3 linked regions of the Callithrix jacchus genome follow. The protein of the gene in region 1 purifies or fractionates together with the protein of each later gene. This does not show direct contact. Links are inferred from orthologs where the notes say so. Each region holds a gene or a part of one and is shown in the gene's direction. Other genes may lie near its edges. The genes, in order: SAAL1, SLC27A2 and TMEM43.

Region 1 (10,257 bases):
TCTTTCATTCCTTCTCAGATACTGTAAGCTTGTCCAGATTAGGGTATAGGTAGTATATGTATTTCTTTATCCTGCTTCCCCTCCACCTTGCCCCAAAACTTAGCTCAGTGAAAGTTTTTTTTTTTTCAGATTGTTAATTCTGTTTATGTGTCTTTCACCTCAGAGCCATTGTGACTTGTAAAATTTGATTTGGCAGGAAATCTGTGTGGGAATTTTAGGTAATATGGCCTGTTTCCAAGAGATATGTGTGTCCATCAGCAGTGATGAAAATCTTGGGTAAGTCTTACTACATAATGATGTTTTTAATATATTCATTTATATCCTTAAGGAAATTCTATACATAGGAAAAGTAGCAAATCTGAAAACAGTCCTTCCTCTGTCCTGATGAACACTCTCTAGGAACTTCTTTGTGTGTTGATGATAGTTAGGGGCTTCTTCAGGAGGTACTGAAATGATTCAGGATTTAAGCCTGTTTTCTTCAGTAGCAAGGGAACCTGAATTGTCAGCCGTTGCCAGTAAGCCAGATAGGGGAAGAACCAGTGGGACAAAACTTGGAGATGGGGCAGCCAACTGGAATCCAAAACAGTTTAGGTGCAAGGAACCCAATGACTCAGCTGGAGTCTACAGAAACTAGATTTGTTGAATAATGTCATCCCGAGAACTCTGACTTAGAGGGTAAGACTTGCTAACAAACTAGAAGATAAAGGGGTGCACATGTGATTAAAAGACTCGTATTTCTGCTTTGAGGCTAGTTCTCTTCTTCATGTGTAAAGTCCTGGGCAGAAAGTTTTTTAATGGAGGAAACCCAAGTGGTTACTGTGTTCTGGGAACACCCTGAAATCATATTCTAAATTTTGTGGGTATATTAGTTTTCTAGGCAAAGGGTTCATGGCTATTAATCAAAATCTCAAAGAAATTTGTTTCTAGGCAGTTTTTGTCAGAACTGGGGCCATAAGGGTTTTATTACAGGATTCAAGTACCTGGGTTTTTCAAAAATAGGTAACTCCTAGTTGTGGAGGGACTTTAAGATCCTAGTTCGGGTTATTTATTCCTCAGTAATTTATAGTCATTTGTGGAACAAACGACTCAGGATTGTGTTCAGTCTCTAATGTTCTCTATCAAAATCCTCTAGTGAGAAATGTTAACAAATGTTATAAATTCAGTTAAATGCTGATGGGATCTAAATTTGTTGAACCACTTTAGAATAGTTGGGCATTATCTGGTCACATTGGAACATATGCATGTGCTGTGACCAGCTCATAGTGGGCATATATGGTAAGAGAAACTGTGCACGTGTGCATCAGAATAACTCATACAAATATTATAGGACAGTTGCTTGAAATAGCCCCAATTGGAATCAATACGAATGTCCATTAACAATAGTCTGGAAAAATAAATTGTGTTACCTTCACACAATGGAATGCTCTGCAGCAGTGTATCAAAGAACAACAGCTACAGGAACAACATGGGTGGATCTTACATACATAGTTTTCAGCAAATAAATGAAGACTCAAAAGAATAAGTGTAATATTTCTTCAATATGCTGTCTCCCTTTCGTGAGCATCTTCATGAATCCAAATGACCTCCCAGATTATGTCTATTCAGCATGGCATCTTAATCCTTTTACCTGCGGTATAAGGCAACACCAAAATATATAAAATAATAAAACTATAGAGCAAAGTAAGGAAATGATTGCTGGAAAAGTCAGAATGGTCATCATTTCTAGCTGGGAAAGAGAATTGTGATTTGAAATGGACACATGGTGACTACAGAGATGCAGCTCTATTCTGTTTCTTGGAAACATGAGTGTTCGCTTTAGAATTATTCATTATCTATAGATTTGTATATTTTGGGCTTTTCTGTATACATGCTGTATTTCACAATAAAGATGTTCAAAAAATGAAATGAAAACTCTGATACTCCAAATGCAAGAAGTGAGGCATATCGGTTAACTTCTGTGTTTTTGTAGGCAGGTGTTATTGCACTGTTTGTATGATTCAGACCCACCTACTCTGCTGGAAACAAGCAGGTATGCGTTTCCTTTTATGAATTCTATAATGTTACTCATAAGAGTAGCTAAGAAAGTTAATTTTTTATTTTCAAATTTCCTTTACTGTTTTTGAAAAGTAGAAATTCAACCCACGTTTACCATATAGGTTGTTGCTTACTTGCCTTTCCCAGGCAGAAGTGGCCAGTGTCTGGGTTGAAAGGATCCGGGAACATCCGGCTATTTATGATAGCATTTGCTTCATTATGTCAAGTTCAACAAATGGTGAGTCATCATGTACTCTAGAAAAAAAAGTGTTTTAAATTTTACTTAATTTTTAGGAAACCATGTAACTATTTCTAGAAGCCTTAAAAAAAAAAAAAAAGGCTTGAGTGCAAGGTAATAAAGTTGTTTGTTTGTTTGAGACAGAATCTTGCTCTGTCACCTAGGTTGGAGTGCAGTAGTGTGATCATAGCCCACTGCAGCCTCTAACTCCTGAGCTCAAGGTATCCTTCTGTCAGCCTCCCCAGTAGCTGGGGCTCTAGTCATGCACCACCACGCTCAGCTCATTTTAGAATTTTGTGTAGAGACAGGGTATTGCTTTGTTGCCCAGGCTAGTCTCGAACTCGTGGGTTCAAGCAGTCACCCAGCCTCAGCCTCCCAAAGTGTTGCGATTATAGGTATAAGCCCAGCTTTTTGTTTGTTTGTTTTTTGGAGACAGTTTTTTGATTGAAGAAGATATAAAATTTCTTAAACTCCTGGGACACTGATAAATTCCTCATTTAAAAATAAGGAAATATAAGCAAATTTAAACATAGGAGATAAGTAAATCACCCTTGGAATAAGTACTACTTGAGCAAGGTTTAGCTTTCTTAGAATAGCTTTAGAATTTTGCTTAACCATCTGTTTTATTCTCTGCAGTTGACTTGCTGGTGAAGGTCGGGGAGGTTGTGGACAAGCTCTTTGATTTGGATGAGAAACTGATGTTGGAATGGGTCAGAAATGGGGCTACTCAGCCTCTAGACCAACCCCAGGAAGAGTCTGATGAGCAGCCAGTTTTTAGGCTTGTGCCTTGTATACTTGAGGCTGCCAAACAAGTACGGTAGGTGAGCTCTTTCATGCAAGTGTTCTGGGAAAATGCAATTGCTGGAAGCATTCTCAGACATAAGTCTTGTTAGATTCCTTGCAACAGACGGAAGTATACAGTCATTCTTTGTTACGTTGATTCACTACTAATATTTGTAATGCAACATGTTTGCTTTTTGCAAGAATGATAATGGTTACAAAGTTCCTGTTGTATTATCATTTAGCTATAGGCTGTTATTCAACATTAAATAAAGAGGGCCGGGTATGGTGGCTCACGCCTGTAATCCCAGCACTTTGGGAGGCCAAGGCGGGTGGATCACGAGGTCAAGAGATCGAGACCATCTGGTCAACATGGTGAATCCCTGTCTCTACTAAAAATACAAAAAATTAGCTGGGTACGGTGGCGCGTGCCTGTAATCCCAGCTACTCAGGAGGCTGAGGCAGGAGAATTGCCTGAACCGAGGAGGTGGAGATTGCAGTGAGCCAAGATCACGCCATTGCACTCCAGCCTGGGTAACAAGAGTGAAACTCTGTCTCAAAAAAAAAAAAAATAAATAAAGAGAAAACATTTTCATGTGGTTATTTTGCATTGAACATTTAACAGGTTCTTAGCGTTGCACATCATTTATTTATTTATTTATTTAGCTCCTTGTGTTTATATGCCAGTCTTCAATAAGTGATTGATTTTGGGACTCTGATGTCTTGCCAAGAGTGATTACTAGGTCTTACAGGTCATTAAAACTATTTATTGCTAATCACTAGAAAATTAATTTTGAAATTGATCTGCTTAGTGGTTTGCTTAGTGCATTCTTAGTGCTGAGTAAGCCACATCAAAACCTATTAATTTTGTGTCCTTTATCCAAGTGAGGATTAAATTCATCATCTTTCCCTAAATCTGCTTCATCAGTATTCTCAATATCAGTAAATGGTGCAATCATTATCCTATTTGGATAACATAGAAGAAATGGAGAAGCCATTACTGAATGCCCCAATATTGTCCCATTGTAGTCAACTTCCAACCCTTATTCCTGACTTTTCCTGGGATTTTATCCATGCCAAACAAGCCATTATTGTCTCTCATCTGGAGAACTGCCACATTCTTTTACTTGAATTCCCTGCCTCTATGCTTGCTTCTTCCCAAGCCTAGACTTAAAAGCTGTTTTTGTAAAGTACGCACTCATCTCACTCTCATGCTTCAGTCTTTTCAGTTGCCTTCCTTAGGATAAGGTCCAAAAAAAAACCCAAAAAAACAGAGCTTGAAATCTATATACATCACCTGGGTGAAGGGACCATCTGTATTCCCAAACCTCAGCATCATGCATGTAACAGCCCCTAACATGTACCTTCTGAATCGAAAATTTAAATAAATAGGTGAAAAAAGAATGAAATAAATGAAAAATTCTCAAAAAAAAAAAGTACAGCTTATAAGCTCAGTAGAATGCCTCTCTATCCTTATTCCTTGTACTCTGAATTTCAGTCATGTGAAGCTTGCTTCACTTCTTCAATTGAACCAGGCTCTCTTGTCGCCAGGCCCTGGCACAGTATGTCTCCTTCACCTCAAACACTTTGCACCTTCATGTTTCTGTGTAAATATCATTTTTCATAAGATGCCTTCCCTGACCTTGCAAACTAAGTCTCCTTGTTCTGAGAAGTTCCTAGTCCAATAGTGCTACATGCATACTACTTTATTATCATTACCCTGCTAGCAATCTTCTTTCCTTTTAGAGTATAGACTTTATGAAAATAGGGATAACATCTTATACATCTGTTTTCTTAGTTCCTAACATAGTGCCTGAAAGTAGTAAGTACTTAAATAAACATTTGCCAAACCATTGTTTTAATTGTTCACTGTCTTTCACTTGCTTGGTTGAAGAACTAAGATTTTGAGTTTCTAAACTGTTTAGATTTTTAAGAATCCAAACTGTTGATCGTAAGAATTAGACTTATGTGGTTTTAGTATTCTCAGCTAGAGAGCTAGTATAATCCTGAGACATTTTCAGAACATCATTGTTGATGCATGGTGCAGTGGACCTTACTCTCATACTCTAAAAATCTCAGTCATTTTTTGTTCTGACTATTCAAGCAAACCAAAATGATAAAGTATCAACTAGCAGGTTTCTGCATTGTTACTTTTATGAGATAAAGGCAAACAATTTTTTTACTTCTTGCCTGTGTGTGTTGATTATATTATATAATATTTGTGATTTTTTTTTTTTTTTTTGCTGTTTCCTCTATTAGAATATAAAAACTCTAATGAGCATAGAGACTTCATTCCTTTCCTTGTTTTATCCTCAGCACTTAGAGCAGTGGCTGGCACAGAGTAATAAATATTCATTGAATGGATGAATGATTGGTACAGTAAAGTTGTGGCTTTTACTTTCCTTTTTAGCTCTGAAAATCCAGAATGGCTTGATGTTTACATGCACATTTTACAATTGCTTACTACAGTGGATGATGGAATTCAAGCAATTGGTAAGATGGTTTTTCCGGATGCACTACAGTTACTCATTTAATTCTTTGCTGATTTTAAATTACTACTTTCTTTATTATCTTTATTAAGTACATTGTCCTGACACTGGAAAAGATATTTGGAATTTACTTTTCGACCTGGTCTGCCATGAGTTCTGCCAGTCTGATGATCCACCCATCATTCTTCAAGAACAGAAAACAGTGCTCGCCTCTGTTTTTTCTGTGTTGTCTGCCATCTATGCCTCACAGACTGAGCAAGAATATCTAAAGATAGAAAAAGGCAAGTACAATTTTTTAGGCTCATATTGTTTTTCATTTCATTTATTTCTCCCTTTTAAAAATGGTTTCATTCCCCTAATTATAGAAATGTTACATGCTAAACTTTAAAAATTTATTTTATTATCATATTTATTTACTTATTTTATTTTTATTTATTTTTATTTTTTGGAGATGGAGTCTTGCCTTGTTGCCTAGGCTGGAGTGCAGTGATGTGATTTCAGCTCACTGTAACTCTGCTTCCTGGGTTCAAGTGATTCTCGTGCCTCAGCCTCCCGAGTAGTTGGGATTACAGGCACACACACCATCATGCCTGGCTAATTTTTGTATTTTTTCAGGAGAGAGAGGTTTCACCATGTTGGCCAGGCTGGGCTCTAATTCCTGACCTTAAGTGATCCACCCACTTCGGCCTTCCAAAGTGCTGGGATTACAGGCATGAGCCAACTCACCTGGCTATTTACTTATTTTAAAAACAGAGTCTTACTTTGTTGCTGAGACTCTAGTGCAATGGCAGGATCATAGCTCACTGAAACCTTGAATTCCTGGGCTAAGGCAATTCTCTTACCTCAGCCTCCTGAGTAGCTGGGACTACAGGCACATGACACGTCACCTGGCTAATATTTAAATTTTTTTATAGAGACTGGGTCTTGCCATCTTGCCCAAGCTCGTCCCAAACTCCTGGGTTCAAATGACCCTCCTGCCTTGCCTGCCAAAGTGCTGGTATTATAGGCATGAGCCACTGTACCCTGCCTAAAAATGTATAAAATTTATAAAAAACATCAAGGAAACATGATGCTTGTAAATGTAGCATCCAATGCATGCATATGTATTTTTTAAATTCTGCTTTTTAGCCAACATTTCATTTAGAAAATAAAAATGAATATTTTCCTTTGCAAATACATATTCTTTCACAGAATGATTTTTATGACTACAATTAAATTCATGATTCATTTAGAATTTATTCTGGTGTCACAGGTGAAGTGTGGCTTTAATTTTTTCCCCCCTTTGATAACTTTGGTACTAGTGGTATCCGTTTTTTTCCAGAGGGCTACCCCATTATCTTACCATCATTTAGTGAATAATCCAGCTTGCCTACACTAATTTGAAATTTCATCATTATTATTTTTTAAATTCCCCTATATATTCTATTTAGTTCCATTGCTCTATTTACATATTAGTAGCCATATTGTTTTTAAATATTAAGGTTTTATGTTTTAATACCTAATAGAGTGAATCCCTCTTCATTCTGAGTTTTCAGAATATTTTTAACTATTCTTATCTCTAACTTAAGTTCCAAAAACAAAAACTCTGATATTTTTGTTCATATTGTGTTAATTTTATAAGAATATGTTATGCCTTTTCATTTGTTCAAGTCTTATTTTGTCCCTCAGTAATGGTTTCTTCATATAGATCTTGTATATTTCTTATTAATTTCATTTCTAGGTAGTTTATCCTTTGGGTTTACTATTGTCTATGACATGTTTCCTTCCACTGATTATTGTTGTTGGAATATATGAAGGCTATTGATTTCTGTATATTAACTTTGCCTCCTGTAACCTTACCAAATTCTTACTATTTTTAATAGTCATTCCAATAATAATCCTTGGGCTTTATCTGATAATGCTTTGGCTTAAATTAGATATATCTTATCACTTCTCTATCTGTGGTTTCTTTTTCTGTCTGGGTTGCCTAGTATCTCTGGTGTTTCTATCATCACTATTAAGTGATGATAGAAAACACCCTTCCCTTGTTCCTGATTTTATTAGGAATAATCCTAGAGTTCTGTTAAGCATTATTGGGTATAAGATACATGTTTTACAGCCAGATGCAGTGGCTCACACCTATAATCCCAGCACTTTGGGAGGCCGAGGTGGACAAATTACCTGAGGTGAGGAGTTGACGATCAGCCTGGCCAACCCTGTCTCTGCTCAAAAATACAAAAATTAGCCAGGCATGGTGGCACATGCCTGTAACCTCAGCTACTCGGGAGGCTGAGGCAGGAGAGTTACTTGAATCTGGGAGGCAGAGGCTGTAGTGAGCTAAGATCTCACCACTGTACTCCAGCCTGGGCAACAGAGCAAGACTCCGTCCCCTCAACAAAAAGATACATGTCTTACCATTTAAGGAAGTATTAATCTGTTTCTATTTTATTGAGTTTTTAATTAAAAAAATGTTGAATATTTTTAAGATTTTCATTTGTAGATATGTTACATCATTGAGAAGGTGGCATTGAGTACAGATCTTAGGAGAAGAATGGAGGGAGTCATGTGCATACTTGGGGAGAAAAACATTCCAGAGAGAAGGAATAGAAGGTACAAAAGCCCTGAACCAGAAGTATGCCTGGTGTCTTTAAGGAGGAACAGTGAGATACCAAATAGCTGAGGTGGATTTAGCAAAGTAGCACCAGAGAGGTAGAGTATGGAGGTTCCGATTTTGCCTTTTCCTCTGAATGAGTTAGGGAACCATGGTGGGTTTTAAGCAGATATTGCTTACACATGAGCTGACTTTAATAGGCTGCTGTTTTGATGAGAAATGAAGGGGGCCATGGATACAAAAGGGAGACGAGTTAGGAGGCTTTTAGAGTTTGGATAATTGACTCTAGCAAGAAATGTTATAACTTGGACTAAGATGGAACAGTTGAGGTGGAAGAAAAATCCTGTGAGCTAATTTTTTGTATTTGGTAAAATAGGGTTTCTCCAAGTTGCTCAGGCTGATCTCAAACTCCTGGGCTCAAGCTACTTGCCCATCTTGGCCTCTCAAAGTGCTGGGATTATAGTCATGAGCCACCAGGCCTGACTTCCGGGGCTCTTTTAATTGCTAACGTTTCATTGCTTTAGTTTTCAACTCAGTGTCACCTTTTCAGAGAGCTTTCCCTGCTAGACCATTATGTTATATTCCTCTTTTATTTCCTTCATAGAACTTACCAAAACCTGAAATGGTCTATTTTATTTACTTATTTGAAAGTATAAAAATATATGCCACTTACAGGCTGACATCTTGGTCGTGTTACCACTGTATCTGTAATACCTAAACTAATGATGTCTAGCACTAACTCAATACGTATGAATGAAAAACCAAACTTAACTGGCCAATTCAATGCTTCTTGATTTGTTTATACAGTAGATCTTCCTCTAATTGACAGCCTCATTCGGGTCTTACAAAATATGGAACAGTGTCAGAAGAAACCAGAGAACTCGGCAGAGTCTAACACAGACGAAACTAAAAAGACTGATTTAACCCAAGATGATTTCCACTTGAAAATCTTAAAGGATATTTTATGTGAATTTCTTTCTAATATTTTTCAGGCATTAACAAAGGTAGGAAAGAAGTACTGATGATGATGTCATAAGTGAAAGTGTGTACAGCTTAATGCTCCAAACTTTATTAATACTGCTATTATTTTGTTAATATAAAAGTAAAATTGAATTTGGGAAAATAAAGTAAAATTTTAATATCACCATGAGTTTATAATCTTAAAAACCGCTAGTAGATGTAGTTTGGTTAATTTATGTATGACAAACATATGTTTACATGCATATATATTTATAAATGCATTTTTGTATACTTTCACCCAGCATATACAGACTGCTCTTTTCCCTAACACTGTGTTATAAGCATTTTTCTTGATTCTAGATGAAAGACTTTTTACTGAGAACCAATTTAAACCTAATTTACCAAACAATCAGTTTTCAAAATTTACTACAAACTTCTCCTAAGGAATATTCTCCCTGAATATGTTCAGTGATTAACATTCTTCCTTTGACCATATTCTTTCTATCCATGTATTTGGAAAGAAACAGATTATGAATATGTTATTAATATATTCTATTATGTATTTTGAATATAAAATGTTATAAATATAACTATATTTACTCATACCCACTGAATTTTCAAAAGAGTATTCCCTAACAAGAACTTACTTTTGACCAGGTGCCCATAATCACAGTTCTTGGGAGGCTGAGACAGGCAGATCACTTGAGCCCAGGAGTTTGAGACCAGTTTGGGCAACACAGCAAAACCTCATCTCTACAAAAAAATACAAAAATTAGCCAGGCGTGGTGACACATGCCTGTGATCCCAGGCAGAGATGGAAGGATTGCTTGAGCCCAGGAGGTCAAGGCTGCAGTGAGCCAAGATTGTGCCATTACACTCCAACCTGAGTGGCAGAGTGAGACTCTATCTCAAACAAAACAAAACAAAACAAAAAGTTTCTCTTAATATGGAGATTTTTTTTTTTTTGAGGCGGAGTCTCACTTTGTCGCTAGGCTAGAGTGCAATGGTGTGATCTCGACTCACGGCCATCTCCGCCTCCTGGGTTAAAACGATTCTCCTGCCTCAGCCTCCTGAGTATCTGGGACTACCGGTGTGTGCTACCACACTCAGCTAAATTTTGTATTTTTAGTAGAGGTTGGGGTTTCACCATGTAGGCCAGGATGGTC
Region 2 (10,257 bases), on another chromosome or scaffold:
CAGGATCCAGGAAAGAGAGGCAAAGGGAACCCCCAGGCTTAGAAAATATCTAGTACAGATTGGAGCAAAGGAGACAAAGAAGCATAATGGAAAGTAGGCAATTCCATCAGCCAAATAGATGTCATCATGAGGAAAATTTTAGTTAGAGGCTGTTGGAGAGTAAGTTACAAATAGAAATTAAGGAAATTAAGCAAATGGGCAGAAAGGCAATTAATTCCAGGAGAAATAAAAACTTGTTCATAGCATATTACTTGGCTCCTCAGTGGTGTATTATGGACAGAATAATGTGAGCAGTGAATATTTATTTAACCAAAAATTGTGATACTGGAAAAAAGGGAGACAGAATGGAACTGAATCCTCATCTGTGACAATAGGAAATCTGAAATTGATAAAACAAGAGAAAGAAGTATACGCATTTAATTTAGAAATATGCAGATAGCAAGAAGAAGCTACAAGAATTAAGCGTCTGCTTCTGGGTGGTAAACTGGGGGTAAAGGGTGAGAACAGGTAAGTGGTGTGAATACAGCATTGTTTGTTTAAGTGCCTTTCAGGGCTATTTGATTCTTATACTATGTGTGTGGTACTCTCTTTGCTGTTTTTTTTCCTTTTTTCTTTATTTTTGGGGAGGTGGGATTTATTGGTGGGCATGAGTAAGGAGGGGGAGTACAGTGGACGTCCTCTCAAGTGCAGAGCTTTTTAAAAAAATTAAGGAAAAGAGCTCTCTGAAGTCACATTGATTCATATTTGAATCTTGGAGCAACTGTTTTGCTACCTTAGTGATCTTGGGAAAATTATTTTAAGCTTTTTGAGTCTCCATGTCCTCAATTGTAACATGAAGCTAACTTTATTAGCTACCACCTTTCATAGGATTCCTTGGAAACAGGTCAACTGCCTAACCCATAGAAAAGCCCTCAGTAGACGCTTTCTGCCTGTTCTAGTTACCTAACACCGTTCATTTCTCTCTGGACACCCTGATCTCTTGGTCTTCATCAGTCATTCAGCCCCAGTGTGAATTTAGTCCCCTTGTTTCCATATTTCGCCTTAGCTCTAATGCAAAGAAGGTTTTTATCTTGTTTTTAAAAAATAAGCAGGTGACCCTTGACCTAGAAATCAGTTCCTCTGTGGAGTGGCTCTGGTGATGGAGAAACACTGTTTCCCCTATGGGAAAGGAAAACTTCAGTCATACTCTTTAAGCCACTGGTGAGCAAAAGCTTAGGTGAGAACCAGACATCTTAGAAGGCTCCAGGATCTCCCATTTGTGCCCACAAACATTTCCAGCCTTAATCCCTTTTGCTAATATAATAAGATTCCTCAGCTGGATGATGAAAACTGAGCCCATGGTGTTGTGATTTTCAGCTCAGCTACCTGCCACTGGCAGGTGACAGCTGTACCTGTGAGGCTGGTCAGCTTCCCACACACCCAGCGTGCCTGTGGCCTCCTGCACCCTAAGCCCTGCCCTGACCCCACCACTAGTTATTGAACAGGGAATGAGGTTTCCTGGTGGAGATTATTTATTTTACTGCCAGGATTATGCTATATGCAAAGTACAGGTCCAGGCACTGAGGATGACATAGAGATACATGCATATTCAGCCTCAAAGGAGTTTGCCATTTAATGAGGAAGACAGATGATCACCATCCAAAAGACAAGGAAATAAACAAAGTGGTGGGAGAAGGACCACTGGTGGGCTGCATGTGAGATAAGGAAGACCTTGGGTCTACATGTGGGAATGCTGCTTTTGGAGCTTCTCATGTAAGCCTGGGGTCAAGTAAGCGCCCAGCTCAGCTTATTTTCTTTAAGCAAAAGGAAGTCTTGAAATACGTGTGATGTTTTATCCTTGGGACAGCAGTGGGAGGAGGTGGATACTGACAGTCTTACAGAAGAGGATAGTGCCTTGTGGGCAGGGTGACCGTACAATTCATTATCCAAACAGGGACACTTGAGGGTGAAGATAATGAAAGATAACCAGCACTCCAGGATAGGTATAGCCAGGGCTTCCCCTTGCAAACAAGACATATGATCTCCTGACTTATGGGAGCTTAGTAATTATAAAGCAGAGTAGAGCCAGTGACCTAGGGACCAGCAGAGAATAAATTCTGGCTGGGCACAGTGGCTTATGCCTGTAATTCCAGGACTTCGGGAGGCCAAGGCAGGAGGATAGCTTGAGGTCAGGAGTTCAAGATGAGCCTGGGCAACATAGTGAGACTTCATCTGTCCAAAATTAATAAATAAATTGGCCAGGCATGGTAGCACACATCTGTAGTCCTGGCCACTCATGAGACAGGCAGGAGGATCACGTGAGCCTGGGAGTTAGGGCTTCAGTGAGCCATAATTGTACCAGCCTGGGCAACAGAGCAAGACCCTGTCTAAAAAAAAAGAGAGAGAATAGATTCCTACTCATTCTGAATGTCTAGGTCTCCTGCAGGTTCAAAAGGCTTCTCAGGCAATTCTCCCAGACATCCTGGGTAAGAGCCGTTGGCAGGGGGCCCTGGTCTCTCTTGACACATTCCCTCCTCAGAATAACTGCTCAAGGAGCCCATGTTCACCAATGATCAGCATCAGTACCCCTCTCTGGTTAAGACTCCTGAAAGAGCCACGTATGTTCTGGCCAAGTTACTTAAAAATTAAATGTGTATTTTCTGCTTCCCTGTCCCCTTAGCTCCTCCTGCATGGAAACCAATTCAGTTTGTCTTGGTGTGATTTTTAATTGCCATGCCAAAGTCCCCAATCCTTATAGTTCTTTTCAAAGAGTAATTCTTATTTCAAAACCACTTCACAGTAATTTCACAGTGTAGGAAATAATGTAGAAAATGCTCTAAGCAATTGCTGTTTTATCAAAGAGATTAACAGTTGATATAAGAGGAGAGCCCCAATGACCTAGCACTTACCCTATATCATTCTGCATCCTGATAGAATAAAGGTCATAGAGTAACAGAATTTACAAGGTAAAATTATACCTACTTATTTTGTCTCTTCCACCAGCCTGTGATTTCCTGGAGGACGTAAAGTACATTATTAACATAAGATATCATTAAAACCATCACTCGGCTGGTCTAAAGGTAGTGAGTTATCTCAATTAATCGTTCACAGTTAGAGATCAAACTTCTGTTTTTTCCCCTCATCTCACTACTGTACTTGACTAGTCTTTTTTAACAATTGAAAATAATAAGATAAATAAAACCATCATTGACATGGACATATTTGTGGGTCTCCTAAATGAGTGTGGTTGAATGGAAGGCAGCCTGGTCATAGCCCCACCTCTGGGAGGAGGAGCCAGAAAGGCTCCTTTCAGTCCTTACACCCAAAACAGATTTTCCTCTGTGATCTTTATGTATAGCAAAGCATATTCCTCCCAGGCCACCTGAGGCAACTGGGAGGTGGCCTCCTCCTCCTGTTCCCCTTCGCATCCCACTGGGACAGTTTTGTTGTCTCGGTTCAGCTCTACCTGGTCTTACGAACTCTGGGGCCTACCTCTTAAACAGGGAAGGGCATGGTCAAGACTCTTCCCTCCAGTTCCCACAGCCTCCAACGTTGCTCTTTAATGACTTTGTGGAAAACGTTTCGCTCTCTCTCTCTTTCTCTCACTGGACTGTGTTTCCTGTTTTATTTTTCATTGTCATAAAAATCCTAGACACTGCTTAGGGTCCCACTGGTAGTAGATTGTGTCCATCTCTGACAGATCTTTCCCATGTGGCTCCTCCTTTCTAGAAATTCACTGATGTTCACCAGCCTCACCAAGAAAACTGTGAATACCATTATTCACATTATTCTAACTTTAGATAGGATGTGGATTAAATGTTGGCATCACCTGGTTCTGTCAGGTTGTCTCATCTGGCTCCTTAAAAATCAAAATGGGAAAATTCATGTTTTGGTTATTAAATCAGAGTTCCAGCTGTCAGACCATACTGCTTGTGCTAGAGGAACGGTGAATAATGTGTGTTGGTAGCAAGAAAAAGACAGACACTAAAGGGTATTTGTAACCAACATAACTATGTAATAAAGGCAATGTTAGTATAAATTAAATACATACAAAATAAAGGCAATTATTAATACGTAAGTATAGGCTCCAGAGATGTTTCAGTTTGGTCTCCTTCTTCTCCCCCTACCACAGAAACCAAATGACCGTGATCATAAAGTGAGATTGGCACTGGGAAATGGCTTACGAGGAGATGTGTGGAAACAATTTGTCAAGAGATTTGGGGACATTCACATCTATGAGTTCTATGCTGCCACTGAAGGCAATATTGGATTTCTGAATTATACGAGAAAAGTCGGTGCTATTGGAAGAGTAAACTACCTACAGAAAGTAAGTGCATTGAAATATGAGAGCATACATAGCCAGTTTTCAGAATACAGAGACTTCTTAAAAGCCAAGTCATGAAGATGTTGTTATCGGAAGTCAGGCAGCATCAGAGCCATGGCCCATTCCTATCACCAAGAGAGGTTTTGCTCATTCTCTGTGATGATGACCTTAAAAAATCAGATCCTCCAGTTAAAAACATCTCAATTTCTATTAAGAACAATCCATTGTGCCTTTGCCATCTGCAACTTAGGTGAAGTCTTCCTGATGCCATTTTTCCTCATATGTGATAAAACACCTGAAGTTTACAAATTCCATAAGCTTATCGTATGCTGTGAAACATAGTGTTTCCCTTTCATTGTGTCGTGCATCACAATCACCTGGGGAGCTTTTTTTGCACAGATGCAAGGCCCCACCCGCTAGGCTTTGGATTCAGTGGTTCTGAGAGGGAGCCCAGGCATCTCAGTGCTAGGATCTAGTAAACATTTATGTCCACTAATAATTCCACCAGAAAAATACTTCTTATTTTTAAGCCAGTTCACATAGCAGTCTCTTTTCCCTGTCAGTCGTTTTATTGCTTGTGGGTCTCTGTTGTCATCTTTGTACTCAAGCAGTCAGTCTTCCAGACAACCAACTATTCTGCAAATATCCAGAAATGTTTGGCAAATGCTGAGCCTCCACTGGCTTGAGAAATCACTGAGGTCATTACGCCTCTGGGCAGCTCCTCCCGTCTGGCCATGAAACAGCCACAATGAACAATGGAACTCTCACGCAACCTCTGTCCCCACGGACAGACCAACAGAGTACAGAGGACAGTAGTTCATGTGCATAAGAGGCCAAGCTCTGGAGAGCAAATCTCAGTGCCACCACACACTAGCTGAGTGACCTTGGGCAGGTCACGTATGCTCCTCAGGCCTAAATTTCATCATCTGTAAAACAGAGTTAACAAGAGAAAATATTGAACCCAGTTCCTAGCCCACACTCAATAAGGGAAAAGGATTGTTGAAAAGATTAAATAACTTATGAAAAGGCCCTTAGAGGCAATAGCCCAATCCCCGTCATTTAATAGCCTGGAATAATTGTTAGCCATAATGATGATGGTTACTCCATTTCTTAAATTCTGGTCTAATCTAAAGGTGTTCCCAAGTTCAAAGACCCTCTCTGGCAATGACAGCTCCACCTATGCCACACAGGTCCCTCCACAGTCCTCTAGACCTGCACTGTCCAAACAGTAGCCAGTAGCTACATGTGGCTATTTAAAGTTATATTAATAAGTGTTTAAATCCAGTTCCTCAGTCACACTAGCCACATTTCCAGTGCTAAATAGCCACGTGTGGTTAGTAACTACCCTATTGAGCAATGTAGACAGAGAACATTTCCATCATCACAGCAGATTTCTAGGCAGTGCTGCTGCAGACTGAGAATCGATCTCCTACTCCCCATTGGAACTGCTGCTGAGAGAGTCCGTTAGTGCTGTGTATTACCTGTTCTTTACTTTCTCATTCAGATTGCCATGTTTTATTGTCAGTTTTTCTTCTTTAAGCAAAACATTAAAGAAAAAAAACTTTAAAAAGCAGATGATGACATGCAATTGATGTGGAAAAAACATTCATTACAACCTATAAATTTTTTATATTCCTACAGATAAGATCTATATTTGTTAGCCATAAGTGAAACTTGTTTTTTTTTAATGAAGTTGCCTTCTAATACTAAAGTATATGATTGGTTGCTTCATCACATAAGCTTGAATATAAATTTGAAATAGACACAGTAATCATGGCTAATAATTACATCCAAATATTGTCATGTTTGCATTTTTCTTCCAACAAGGAAAATAATATGTTTATTATTGCTGTCACTGAATTGCTGAAAATTTAATTCTTATGCATTGAATTATGTGTTAAATGTGATAGAGTTTTAATACTTTTATAGTCATAGGCATGAAATAATTATGTTTTTGATTCTAAAATAGATAACATTACTGTAGAAACATGAAAAATCTAACAGTGGCATATTAAATATATAAGATTTAAAAAACCCATTTGTGATATATCCACCAAAAGACAAAAGAATGTTCATAACAGTTTTATTTATAATAGTCCAAAACTAGAAATAATCCAAATACCCATTAACAAGAAAATAGATAAATAAATCGTGGTATATTTATACAAGGGAAAGTTGCATGCAATAAAAAACACCAACATTGATGGATGAAAACTACAGACATATTTAGTGAAAGAAGCAGACACAAAAGCATACATTTATTTTATTTATCTGAACTTTAATTGGGCCGGGCACGGTGGCTCACGCCTATAATCCCAGCACTTTGGGAGGCCAAGGTGGGTGGATCACCTGAGGTCAGGAGTTCCAGACCAGCATGATCAACATGGAGAAACTTCATCTCTACTAAAAATACAAAATTAGCCAGGCATGGTGGCACATGCCTGTAGTCCCAGCTACTCGGGAGGCTGAGGCAGGAGAATCACTTGAATCCGGGAGGAGGAGGTTGCAGGGAGCCAAGATCTCACCATTTCACTCCAGCCTGGGCAACAAGAGTGAAACTCCATCTCAAAAAAAAAAAAAAAGATTAATTGACAGTGATATAAGTCAGAATAGTAGTTAACTTCACAAAAAAGGGCAGGGGGAAACTCTCTAGCTGAAATGAAAATATTTTCTCTCTCTCTCTGGGTAGCAGTTTTAAGGGTATATGCAAATGTAAAATTTCATCAACTTATACCCCTACGATGTACTTTATATACTTTATGTATGTTATACCACAATTTAAAAGAAAAAAATTATAAAAGATTTATACTCAAAATTATACATTTAATCTTGCTAGAAAGCCATAACTTATGACCTGATTAAGTATGACGTGGAGAAAGATGAACCCATCCGTGATGAAAATGGATATTGCATCAGAGTTCCCAAAGGTACAGTGGACTTCTGTTCAATCAATCTGTGCCCTTTCTTATCTTGACCAATTGACTTTTAAGGACTAACATCTTATTGCCACATGGTAAAATTTATCAGAGTGGGGAAAAGCCAGGGGGTCATTTAAGTACCCTCCAATATACAGGAATTCCAAAAGGTGCTAATTTACCACTGCATGTAACATAATTATAGTTTTAAACCTAGCTTACCAACTTCTTGTTTATGAGGTAATGTTCTGTGGGAAGGGATATGGAATTGTGGTTGCAAAACCATAGTTTCAGGTGGTCTTTACCTTTAAGCTTTAACTAGTGTGCATTTATGTAAGTCTGTGCAAATTATTACTCAGTATAAGATTAGCATTAAAAGAATTACAGGCAAGGTGTGGTGGCTCACACCTGTAATCTCAGCACTTATGAGGTTGAGGAGGATGGATCATTTGAGATCAGGAGTTCAAGACCAGCCTGGCAAACATGATGAAATCCTGTCTCTACTAAAAGTACAAAAAAGCACACACCTGTAACCCCAGCTACTTGGGAGGCTGAGGCAGAGGTTGCAGTGAGCCAAGACTGCACCACTGCACTCCAGCCTGGGCAACAGAGCAAGATTTAATCTAAAAAATAAAATAAAATAAAATAATTAGGCCATATGCAATACATATATAATAATGTACAATATATGTGTGTATGGTATATATATGTGTGTCTGTGATATATATGTACATACAACTCACATGTACACATGCATGGAAAATGATACTGCCTACAGCCGGTTTGTTGCCAGTGGGTTTATGGCATTAGTTTTAAGAGAAGGTTGATGTATACATTTGCTTACCTCTAGCACACAAAATAACAGTTTACTTTCTTCTATTTTAGGTGAAGTTGGACTTCTGGTTTGCAAAATCACACAACTTACACCATTTAGTGGCTATGCTGGGGGAAAGGCTCAGACAGAGAAGAAAAAACTGAGAGATGTCTTTAAGAAAGGAGATCTCTATTTCAACAGTGGAGATCTCTTAATGGTTGACCGTGAAAATTTCATCTATTTCCACGACAGAGTTGGAGATACATTCCGGTTGGTTTTTCTGAATCATTGAGCCAAAAACAAACACACGCACAGTTTGGCTTATTCCTAGATTGGAATCGCATTCCACTTTGGTTATGGTGCATTTCCTTCTCTATCTTTGGCACATAGGTCAAACTCCTGTGTTCGCAGAGAATGAGGAATGGAGTGCACGAAGTGTCACTCTGCAGGGCACGGTTAACTTGGCTGAGCAACACCAGATGAGAATAAGCCAGGAAACCTGTATCTGACTTTTGGAGATGAAAGTCCATTTAACTCCCCTTGTTTGTCCTGTATTATTACTGGTCACTCTTAGGACAGCCAAGGATTTTCACCTTTCCAATCATGGAGGTGTTAATATAAAATCAGATGCAAACTAATGGTAGTTTGCATCTGAACCCCTTCCCCCAACGCCTTTCATCCCCAACCAAATGGTTTCCCACAAAACCCCCAGGTCAGCACAAGGAAATCTGGAAGTCCTTCTAATAGACGATGAAATTAATTCCCTACCATAGCACAGTCCTCCAGCCTCAGACACAGCTTCCTTCCTATGTAAACTCCCTGAGGGCAGGCCCTGTGTCTGCCTGTTCACCCCCAGCTCCTACCATGGTACCTGACACACATAATCACTTTTTGCATGAATGAATGAGGAAGGGATGGAAGTTGTCTAACTGCAGTTAGTACAAAGACAGCAGAGTGGAATGAGGAGAACCAGGCTCACCTCTCCCCCCTGACCAGCAGTGGTATCAAGACAGGTAACCGTTCTGGATCCCAGTTCTTTTGCCCTTGAGATGAGGGTCATGATGATTCTCAGGGTCCTTCCATCTCTACTATTGCACATCTTAAGATCCATATCACTTTATGTCATCTCCATGTTATTAGAAAGATGCTTCTGGGAGAACTAAAGAATTTTTAATGGTCTGGGCTTGGTGGCTCATGCCTGTAATCTGTTACTAGGGAGGCTGTGGCAGGAGAATCACCTGAACCAGGGAGACAGAGGTTGCACTGAGCCGAGATTTTGACTCTGCACTCCAGCCTGGGCAACAGTGAGACTCCACCTCAAAAAAAAATAATAAAATAAAATGAATTTTTAATGGAAACAAAATTTAACTCTTTATTAAGTGAAAAATATCACCTGGTTGGGCTTTAACATTATAATCTCCCTGTAACTAAAGTATGATTGTTTTTTCCTTTCTTGTTGCCATGAGACCCTGAAATACAAATATGAAGTTCTATTAAAGAGAACTTCACAAACTGAATTAAATAGCAACTTGAGTTAGCAAGTGAAAAATTGAGAGGCCTAAACACAGCAGAAAATAGTTGAGATTTCTTTCTGATTTCCAGTGCCTTTCTTAGCCAGGGCTCTATTTCAATATTAGAACATTATTCTGTATATTGTGTTTCATGTGGTGAGATTGAAATTCCAAATTTTGTTATCTAGGTCTATACTTTTCACTTTTATGTCTCAGGCAAGATACCCCAGCCAGGACTAAGTTGGGGAGTTTGAGGGGCCAAGGTGAGGAAGAGATCAGCACCCTGCAGAAATCTGCAGGAAACACCTGCTGTCCATCATTACAACGTCTGCCAGAAACCAACAATGACCTCTGCTAACTTTGTCCTTTCTTCCAGGTGGAAAGGGGAAAACGTGGCCACCACTGAAGTTGCTGATATAATAGGACTGCTTGATTTTGTCCAAGAAGTGAATGTTTATGGAGTGCATGTGCCAGGTATACACAAAATATAATCTGTGCCTAAACCCATAGAGTAACTGAACATAATTTTAACCTCAAGGCAAAGTTTGTCTTGCTTTCTTCTGCCATCCAGAGTTAAACAGCTCTTTCAGCTGCTGGGGAGTAAGGAGCTTATGTCTGGCTTATGTTCCATTATAAAAGCCAACTCAGTGCATTAGAACAAGGCTTTCTCTTCAGTTCAGCTCCCAGCCGTTCTTGGGCTCACGGGCAAAGTCT
Region 3 (10,257 bases), on another chromosome or scaffold:
GAAGTTTTCTTTTCTTGTTGGGTCTCTGCCGGGTTTTGGTATCAGGATGATGTTGGTCTCGTAAAATGATTTGGGAAGTATTCCCTCTTTTTGGATTGTTTGAAATAGTTTTAGAAGGAATGGTACCAGCTCCTCTTTGTGTGTCTGGTAGAATTCGGCTGTGAACCCGTCTGGACCTGGGCTTTTTTTGTGTGGTAGGCTCTTAATTGCTGCCTCGACTTCTGCCCTTGTTATTGGTCTATTCATAGTTTCAGCTTCCTCCTGGTTTAGGCTTGGGAGGACACAGGAGTCCAGGAATTTATCCATTTCTTCCAGGTTTACTAGTTTATGTGCATAGAGTTGTTTGTAATATTCTCTGATGATGGTTTGAATTTCTGTGGAATCTGTGGTGATTTCCCCTTTATCATTTTTTATTGCATCTATTTGGTTGTTCTCTCTTTTATTTTTAATCAATCTGGCTAGTGGTCTGTCTATTTTGTTGATCTTTCCAAAAAACCAGCTCTTGGATTTATTGATTTTTTGAAGGGTTTTTCGTATCTCAATCTCCTTCAGTTCAGCTCTGATCTTAGTTATTTCTTGTCTTCTGCTGGGTTTTGAGTTTTTTTGATCTTGCTCCTCTAGCTCTTTCAATTTTGACGATAGGGTGTCAATTTTGGATCTCTCCATTCTCCTCATATGGGCACTTATTGCTATATACTTTCCTCTAGAGACTGCTTTAAATGTGTCCCAGAGGTTCTGGCATGTTGTGTCTTCGTTCTCATTGGTTTCGAAGAACTTCTTTATTTCTGACTTCATTTCACTGTTTACCCAGTCAACATTCAAGAGCCAGTTGTTCAGTTTCCATGAAGCTGTGTGGTTCTGGGTTGGTTTCTGTATTCTGAGTTCTAACTTGATTGCACTATGGTCTGAGAGGCTGTTTGTTATGATTTCAGTTGTTTTGCATTTGTTGAGCAGTGCTTTACTTCCAATTATGTGGTCAATTTTTGAGTAGGTGTGATGTGGTGCTGAGAAGAATGTATATTCTGTGGATTTGGGGTAGAGAGTTCTGTAAATGTCTATCAGGTTTGCTTGCTCCAGGTCTGAGTTCAAGCCCTGGATATCCTTGTTGATTTTCTGTCTGGTTGATCTGTCTAATATTGACAGTGGAGTGTTAAAGTCTCCCACTATTATTGTGTGGGAGTCTAAGTCTCTTTGTAAGTCATTAAGAACTTGCCTTATGTATCTGGGTGCTCCTGCATTGGGTCCATATATGTTTAGGATCGTTAGCTCTTCTTGTTGTATCGATCCTTTTACCAGTATGTAATGGCCTTCTTTGTCTCTTGATCTTTGTTGCTTTAAAGTCTATTTTATCAGAGATGAGAATTGCAACTCCTGCTTTTTTTTGCTCTCCATTTGCTTGGTAAATCTTCCTCCATCCCTTTATTTTGAGCCTTTGTGTATCCTTGCATGTGAGATGGGTTTCCTGGATACAGCACACTGATGGGTTTTGGATTTTTATCCAATTTGCCAGTCTCTGTCTTTTGATTGGTGCATTTAGTCCATTTACATTTAGGGTTAATATTGTTATGTGTGAATTTGATACTGCCATTTTGATACTAAGTGGCTGTTTTGCCTGTTAGTTGTTGTAGAATCTTCATTATGTCGATGCTCTTTAACTTTTAGTGTGATTTTGGAATGGCTGGTACTGGTTGTTCCTTTCTATGTGTAGTGCCTCTTTTAGGAGCTCTTGTAAAGCAGGCCTGGTGGTGACAAAATCTCTGAGTACTTGCTTGTTCGCAAAGGATTTTATTTTTCCTTCACTTCTGAAGCTCAATTTGGCTGGATATGAAATTCTGGGTTGAAAGTTCTTTTCTTTAAGAATGTTGAATATTGGCCCCCACTCTCTTCTGGCTTGTAGTGTTTCTGCCGAGAGATCTGCTGTGAGTCTGATGGGCTTCCTTTTGTGGGTAACTCGACCTTTCTCTCTGGCTGCCCTTAGTATTTTCTCCTTTATTTCAACCTTGTTGAATCTGACGATTATGTGCCTTGGGGTTGCTCTTCTTGCAGAATATCTTTGTGGTGTTCTCTGTATTTCCTGCATTTGAGTGTTGGCCTGTCTTGCTAGGTGGGGGAAGTTTTCCTGGATGATGTCCTGAAGAGTATTTTCCAGCTTGGATTCATTCTGTTCGTCCCCTTCTGGTACACCTATCAAACGTAGATTAGGTCTTTTCACACAGTCCCACATTTCTTGGAGACTTTGTTCATTCCTTTTTGCGCTTTTTTCTCTAATCTTGGTTTCTCGTTTTATTTCATTGAGTTGGTCTTCGACTTCAGATATTCTTTCTTCTGCTTGGTCAATTCGGCTATTGAAACTTGTGCATGCTTCACGAAGTTCTCGTATTGTGTTTTTCAGCTCCTTTAATTCATTCATATTCCTCTCTAAGTTATCCATTCTTGTTATCATTTCCTCATATCTTTTAAGTTCCTTAGTTTCTTTGCATTGATTTAATACATGTTCTTTTAGTTCACGAAAGTTTCTCATTATCCACCTTCTGAAGTCTAATTCCATCATTTCGTCACAGTCATTCTCCATCCAGCTTTGCTCCCTAGCTGGTGAGGAGTTTTGGTCCTTTCTAGGAGGCGAGGTGCTCTGGTTTCGGGTGTTTTCCTCCTTTTTTCGCTGGTTTCTTCCCATCTTTGTGGGTTTATCCGCTTGTCATCTACGTAGTTGCTGACTTTTTGATTGGGTCTCTGAGTGGACACCCAGATTGTTGATGATGAAGTATTTCTGTTACTTGGTTTTCCTTCTACCAGCCTAGCCCCTTCGCTGTACGACTGCTGAGGTCCACTCCAGGCCCTGCTTGTCTGGGGTGCACCTCTAGCAGCTGTGGCACAGTGAGGGATGCTACCCGTTTCTTTTTCTGCTATCTTTGTCCCAGGATGATGCCTGCCAAATGTCAGTCTTTTGGATATAGAGGGGTCAGGGAGCTGCTTGAGGAGACAGTCTGTGTACTTTTTTGGAGCTCAATTGCTGAGCTGTGAGCTCTGTTGTTCATTCAGGGCTGTTAGGCTGCTATGTTTGATTCTGCTGCAACAGAGCTCATTAAAAAAAACCCTTTTTTTTCTCAAATGCTCTGTGTTGGGGGGTTCGGGCTTTATTTTTCGATGTCCGATGAGGTGTCCTGCCCAGCTAGAAGGCAGACTAGCCACTGTTTGGCTGCCGAGGCTCCGCCCTGCTGTTGTGTGATTCGCCCTGTTCCTGCAGGCTCTGCTGTGGTCTCTGCCATGCCCTGCAGCGGAGTCTCTTCGTTGTAGCGTGTTGCCTCAGCAATGGCAGGCTGCGTCAGCAGTGGGCGTGTATCTCAGTAGGGACGGGTTGCCTCGGCAACGGCTGGCTGCGTCAGCAGTGGCGTGTATCTCAGTTGGGGCGCGTTGCCTCGGTAGTGGTGGACGCCCCTCCCCCACAGAGCGTCTCGGACCATCTGCTCGGGATAGTTTGAAATCGCAGTTTTGTTTGTCCCACTGGGTGTCCCAAACGATCTGTCCCTGCAATCCCCTGGGCTTGCCTACTGTCCAAGTCTCGTTCAGTCTCAAGTCCAGCCCTCTCAAGTCTCAGGTTGCCGGTTCAACAGAGCACCCGGACAAGCGCGCCCTGTGGGGATTGCTGGGTAGGGCCGGCTGCCGCCGCCCCAGCTGCCGGCTTTGCCAGGCAGACCTACTGCCTGGCATCCCGTGTCTTTTTTATACTTGGGAGTTTCCCCGTTCTGTGGGCAACAAAGATCAGTCTGGAAATGTAGCTCCGACTCACTGTTTGCGGATTCAACGAGAGCTCCAATCCTGGGTTGTTCTCACAGCGCCATCTTGAGTCCTCCCCCGAGGTCAGCATTTAAACGGAATCCTCCATCTTACCTTTATGACCTTGGGCAGACCAGTTCCTTTCTGGAGCCTCAGTTTCCTCCTGTCTGTCTGAGGGCCCTTCTTTGGATCTCTGACGTCTTCAGATTCCAGTTCACTCTATGTCTGGAATGCTCCAGACTCAGACAGACTCAGTGTGGAGAAACCTGCAGGGCGGGTGGGGTGAGTTGGGAGCGCAGCAGGGAAGCACACACTCCCCTATACGTTTGATAAATACTGACTACCATGTGTAAGACTCCATAGCAACAGAGATAGGCTTAGAGCAATAGCTCAGAGCCCAGGCTCTGGGCCTAGATGGTTATGAGTTCAAATCCTGGTTCTGGCACTTTTTACTTGGGGTGAGTTTCTTAACTCCCTGAGCCTCAGTGACCCTATAGGTAAAATGAAGTTAAGAAGAATACCTACCGTACGGGGTGGGCATGAGCACTTCATGAGATAACACATAGGCAATGCTCAGAAACATGAACTTTGCTGATCATAAGGGGTAAGTAGCAGTGCCGTATGGAACAGACCAGGATGAGTCCCAATGGTGGCTTGCAGGATGTGCTGCAGGCATGGTGGGGCACCAGGACTGGCTCTGCAAACCCAGTGATTCCAGACCACTGGTGACCTCCTGGGAACTGAGCGAAGATTCCCTGAGTGGACATGAGCTATGGAACGCCAACCTGGAGAGGTCACACAAGGCAAGAATAGGGTAATTCCTCATGAATTTAGCTGGAACCTAGGCTTTATCCTGTTGAACCAATAGTTTGTCAGATTCTTGAGGAGAGGCCAATGCTTAGGCTAATTTATTCCCTATAGTACCTGCTGCTTCAGTGCTGGGCAGATAAATAATTAGTAACATCTTACTGCATGAACGAATAAACACCTCTAGGAATGGCTGAGAGGTCCAAACAGGCACCCACAGGAGGCTCCACCTACAGACTCTTGTGTGAGTATGTAGGACCCAGGGTATTTCTAGCATTCCAGGCAAATGTCTTTATACTGGCCTCAGACTACTATCCACATATAGTATTAAAGTTTACAGAGCACTGCCATGCCCTCTCCCCTGCAGCGGGGTAGAGTGGGTGGCTCAGTGTGTCCAGCCATGCAGCTCATAGCAGAGGCTCCCGTGCTCCCTTAGCTCTCAGAACAAGGCTCTTTGCCTTCTGCTGCACTGACTCTCTCCCCTCCTCACGCACGAAGCAACAGAGGCCCATCCTTACCTAGGGACAGGAGTGATCTGCTGAGCTGGTGAGATGTAGAGCGGGTCACACCGCATTGCCTTTCTCCTTTCCACAGTGGACTGGTTTCCTGTCTTCCGAGACCTGGTCAACATTGGCCTGAAAGCCTTTGCCTTCTGCATGGCCACCTCACTGACCCTGCTGACTGTGGCGGCTGGCTGGCTCTTCTACCGGCCCCTGTGGGCCCTCCTCATCGCCAGTCTAGCCCTGGTGCCCATCATTGTTGCTCGGACACGAGTGCCGGCCAAAAAGCTGGAGTGAAAAGACCTGGCACCCACTCGACACCTGCGTGAGCTCTAGGATCCAGGTCTCCCTCACCCCTGACCCAGCTCCATGCCAGAGCAGGAGCTTGGAGCAGTTTTGGACTCTGCACCCCCTCTCCTCTCCAGGGGCCAGACTTGACAGCACATGCAACGGGTTGGTCTTCCCCATGCCCCTTCTTGCCAGTAAGCAGCTTGTAAATGGCAACCTGACAGCTTCTCCTACTGTTTCCTTCCTCTCTCCTGGACTGAGTGGGTACGGCTGGCCACCCAGCCCATCGGCAGCTGACGACGCAGACGCTCCACAGAGGCCTGCTGATAAAGGGCTCAGCCTTGCTATATGCTGCTTCTCATCACTGCACACGGTGCCAGGCTTTGCCACCACCACCAAGCACATCTGTGATCCTGAGGGGTGGCCATTTGTCATTACTGCTGAGTCCTGGGTCACCAGCAGACACACTGGGCATGGACCCCACAAAGCAGGCACACCGAAAATCTAGTCTGTGGCCAGAACCTGATTTTTTACTTAAACACTGAAGATGTTCCAAGGAGAAAAGCTGGACATATGTTGGGCTTTACATGTACCTTATGGCTTGGTAGAATCTGTAGTGTGTGGGGTCTCTGAAGGCCCTACTTAAGTTTTTCTTCATTTTGCTGCTTCCTGTGTACTTTCCTACCGCAAGAGGGAGTTTTCTGAAAGATTTAAAAAAAAAAAAACCACACACACAGACCTGAATGATTAATATTTCAGACTGTTACGGGAAACACCTTTTAGTCTGTCAGTTGAATTCAGAGCACTGAAAGGTGTTAAATTGGGGTGTGTAGTTTGATAAAAAGTTACCTCTGTCAGTATTTTGTGTCACTGAGAAGCTTTACAAGGGATGCTTTTGAAACAACCATTAGCAAAAGGATTTGTTCCCTCTGGGAAGAGAAGGTGGAGAAAGCACTTGCTTTCGTCCTCTGGCATCGGAAACTCCCCTGTGCACTTCAAGATGATTTAAAAGATTAAAGAAAATATTAAGAGAAAAGTTGGAATCTTTATACTAAATGAATGGGCTCCTTCATAGCCCAGTCAACCACAATAAAGAACTGGGGCCTGAGGCTTGCTATAGAATGCCCACACCTGCCTGGCTGATTTCACTGGGAGTGCTTTGGGCACGGGCACCTGGGCCTCCTATCTTTGCTTCTGAGTGGTTCTTTTGCGGGTTGTGTCCATAGCTTTAGTCATCCTAAATAAAATCCACCCACACCTAAGTCACAGAATTTCTGTTTCCCAACTACTCTCACACCCTTTTAAAGTATGCTGTAACCAGGATGATGTCTTAAATGATTTGTATACCTTCTCTCACATTCAGAAACTTTTGCACCTGCTGGGAATAACTGCTTTAGCAAGTTAAGTATTTGGTAGATAAATAAGGAAGGGGTCAGAACTTCTGAAACCAGAGATCTGTAGTCATCTCTCTTGGCCTGGGGTGCCTGTACTATAAATGAGTTTCTTTACATGAAAAACACAGCCAGCCCAAGATGACTTATCTGGGTTTGGGATTGAATAGTATTCACTAACTGCTTATAACATGAGCAATTTCATCAAATCCCCAAAATCTTAAAGGATGGTTCTGGAAAACACACAGTATAACTAGATGGTGGCTAAATGCAAAATCCTTGGGATTTGGTTTTTTTCTAATAAGGATTTTAAGTTACTGCCAACTTCAAAAGTGTTCTTAGAGAGAAAAATGTTAAGAAAAATGTGAAAGCTTTGAAAACCAAATTTGTATTATCTTTGTATTTTTGATGAAAAATTTTGAAATAAATTTCTAAGTATCTTCTGGTATGGGACCCTGACATCCTGTTTTATTTTTATTTTTTGGCATTCTTTCTGAAATTCCTATAAATAATTCAGCCATAGGATTTATTGAGAACTGAATTTTGTGGAACTTTGTTCTGAGTTTTCAGTGGTTAAAATAGGTTTTTTTTTTTTTTTTTTTTTTTTAAGGGCAACTCTATTCCTACCACTCAGGCCTTCCATACAGAAGCCCACTTTGTTTTGGCTTGATTTAAAGTGAATGACTCAGGCTTCATGCATCTTCAGAATGTGCCAGAAGAGGTGGAAGGGGCAACAGTGTGCTGCACAGCCAAAGGCATCCTGAGTTGGCACACAGACCTGAGTTCTGAGCCAAAGTTTGCTACAAACTGGTTGTGATGCTGGGCAAATCAAAGATCTGAGTCTGTTCCCTCACTGGTACAATGGGAACAGCACTTGTCCACCTCACAAGATTATTGTGAGGGCCAAATGAGATAAAGCCCATAGAATGCCTGACTCATGGCATTAATTTTTCATTCCTCTATTTCCTGTTCTGAAGCAATGGCTGCTAACTGCCCACTCTGATGCTAGCAGTTTGAGTGCTTTATTTTTCATAAGCAGGTGAGTGGTAACTTTCTCAAACCTCTTCTGTTTCTCATAACCTACTGTTTCAATAATGCCTCCTAGTAGCTGACATATGCCTGAAGAAGTTATTTCTGCAGAGACATGGCAATGCCATCGTCTCAAAACCCCAGAAAGACAAGCATGGTGGTGCATGCCCATGGTCCCAGCTACTCAGGAGGCTGAGGTGAGAGGATTGATTGCTTGAGGCCCAGAGGTGGAGGCTGCAGTCAGCTGAGATCACGCCACTGCACTACAGCCTGGGCAGCAGAGTAAAACCCTGTCTCAAAAAATTAAAAAAAAAAAAAAAAAAAAAGTGTGAGCCAGTTTCCATAGCAACCCCGGTCTGTTTCTCAACAAGAAGCTCCAGCCAGCCTCTTGCCACATATGAGTCATAACCCAAGTGTTTTGTTTGTTTCCCTTGGATAAAACTGACTCATTTTTAACGGCTCCTCTCAAAGATTAAGTAATATCTCTTCACTAAACACAGAAAAATTCCATGTGTAATGAGTTCCCAGCCTACATGAAAACAAGATTCTTTCATGCTGTCTCAACATACAAACAAACTGCTCTGTCACCTGGATGTTCTTTCTGATGTAAATCTGAAAGAAGCTGGGCACAGGCGGTGGTGTGTGGGTGCCTGCAGTCCTGAGAAGCTGGGACTGTTTGTCGAACAATGCCTTTCTACTGCACACGGCGGCTGTGAGGGCAACTGAGGTAAAGCCCTCAGTAGAACCACTAATGCCCAGGAGTCCAGCCTGGGCAACATGGTAAGACGCCATCTTTTAAAAGAAAATCTGAAAGCAAATATAGAGCCAAGTCTTTAGATAAATGCTTTATTTTTTTCTTAAAGTGTTACAAAAGTTATTTCTCCTGAGTATCTATAGTACTGAGAGCTTTATTACATTTATCTAGTAATGAACAGAATCTAGTTTAACACTGATCTATTTTACTAACATTTCCATAATTTTCAATTGGTGTTTTTCCTTCCTTTCCTGATTTTACCTTTTTTTTAGGCTTCTGCCACCACAAAATGTTACTTGGAAAACTAGATCCCAGCAATTCCATAATCTGAGATGACCTGTACTTCTCCTCTGCTCTCCCCACTACTGCAAGGAGGCAGAAAAGGCAGCATTAGTAAGCCTGACTCAGGGGAAGGTAAGCAGCCTGCAGAGAAAGGGTCCTACGTCTGCAAATGAGGCAAGTGAATTTGTCAGACAGATGAAGACAACTGGGAGAAAGAATCAGCACATTCATGGATGCACCACCATCCAGAAATCTCTCGGTCACTTCCCTACAAAAACTGATGTTTCCAATGAGAAGAACAGGTCTAGGAGGCAGGAGGGTGTCTCCCGGCAAAGTGTTCTGTAGCTCAGAGTGAGTGGACTTTGGTAACAAAAAGCTTTGAAGGCTTCACCCTGGGTGAATCTGACAAGGGCTGGGGCCAGGCTGGACCTGTAGCATCTCCTCAGCTTGGCCTCCTCTCCCTTGGCCCCGCCTCAGTGCATGCTGCCTCAGTTTCCCTTCTCAGCAGAAATGCCCCCATCACCAGGGACTGGGCATGCCCAGGGCAGGTATGGGGCCAGTAGTGGGGCAGCAACAAGTAGTGGATGCCCCTATAGGGGGTGCTCAGCTCACAGCTTCTCAAATGGGAACAGGTGGGAAGCTGCTGCCTTCCTTTCCCTTTTGGTCTTCTTGGGCCCACCCTTCAGCTTCTGCTTTTCTTCATCTTCTCGGTTTTGAGGCCAGGAAGCAGCGAGTATCCTGGCTGCTTCTGCTTGAGAACTGGTACCCTCCTCTTCATCAGAAGAGAGTCCACCTCCTGCATCTGAATGGGAAGCTGCTGCCTCACTCTAGACAGGGGGCAGTGGTGGAAGGACACAGGCCAGGGTCAGTAATCAGATATAAGGAAGCACCATGAAGAGGCAGCAAGTTCTCAGCCTGCCCTAAGCTGTGTGACTCTGGGAGGACGGTGAGGGAAGAGAGCCCAGACCCTTCTTACTGAGCCTTCCTCAGCCTGGGGTGAATCCAAGCAGACACCAGAGCACCTGCTATGAGCTGAGTGCTAGGGAACACAAGAATGGCCGGGCGAAGCTGCCCACAAGGAGCACACCACCGTATCTGGAGATGCCTGTGATCCGTGCCTTGCATTTGCTACCTCATTTCTGGACAAAAGTACATGATGACTTGAATAGGCCAGATGCACAGTTCAGCCCTCGGAGTCCTAAGATCTGAGGTGACACTCCCTGCCAGCTGGGATGATTGGGGAGGGTTTGGATGGAGAGGGCGGCAAGGAGCTAGTCAGAACATAAAGCCAAGGGCCTTTTCTCCACCAAAGGGATTGGAATGAGAAGCGTGATGAAAAAACGTTTAAAGGCAAACAGGCAGCACAGAGGGTTGGACACAGGGAACTAAACATGCCAGCGCAGTTTCTGCTGTGTCTGACACAGCACTGACT

What was found.
Region 2: the proteins of SAAL1 (region 1) and SLC27A2 purify together in Homo sapiens (co-immunoprecipitation; 3 studies listed by BioGRID and IntAct, with this or other methods). This does not show direct contact. The link is inferred for Callithrix jacchus from reciprocal best matches to the Homo sapiens genes SAAL1 and SLC27A2.
Region 3: the proteins of SAAL1 (region 1) and TMEM43 purify together in Homo sapiens (affinity purification with mass spectrometry; 3 studies listed by BioGRID and IntAct, with this or other methods). This does not show direct contact. The link is inferred for Callithrix jacchus from reciprocal best matches to the Homo sapiens genes SAAL1 and TMEM43.

What each region holds. Positions count from the first base shown.
Region 1 is NC_133511.1:84,115,328-84,125,584, reverse strand, and holds part of SAAL1 (protein SAAL1), read left to right. Parts: intron 1-196; coding exon 197-276; intron 277-1,969; coding exon 1,970-2,029; intron 2,030-2,156; coding exon 2,157-2,272; intron 2,273-2,908; coding exon 2,909-3,089; intron 3,090-5,462; coding exon 5,463-5,545; intron 5,546-5,633; coding exon 5,634-5,822; intron 5,823-8,938; coding exon 8,939-9,135; intron 9,136-10,257. UniProt on the Homo sapiens protein: Plays a role in promoting the proliferation of synovial fibroblasts in response to pro-inflammatory stimuli.
Region 2 is NC_133509.1:37,861,214-37,871,470, forward strand, and holds part of SLC27A2 (long-chain fatty acid transport protein 2), read left to right. Parts: intron 1-4,111; coding exon 4,112-4,306; intron 4,307-7,139; coding exon 7,140-7,230; intron 7,231-8,103; coding exon 8,104-8,302; intron 8,303-9,919; coding exon 9,920-10,017; intron 10,018-10,257. UniProt on the Homo sapiens protein: Mediates the import of long-chain fatty acids (LCFA) into the cell by facilitating their transport across cell membranes, playing an important role in hepatic fatty acid uptake.
Region 3 is NC_133516.1:71,115,494-71,125,750, forward strand, and holds the end of TMEM43 (transmembrane protein 43), read left to right. Parts: intron 1-5,175; coding exon 5,176-5,378; 3' UTR 5,379-7,213; downstream 7,214-10,257. Other genes in the region: XPC (DNA repair protein complementing XP-C cells), read right to left, coding at 9,434-9,652. UniProt on the Homo sapiens protein: May have an important role in maintaining nuclear envelope structure by organizing protein complexes at the inner nuclear membrane. Required for retaining emerin at the inner nuclear membrane.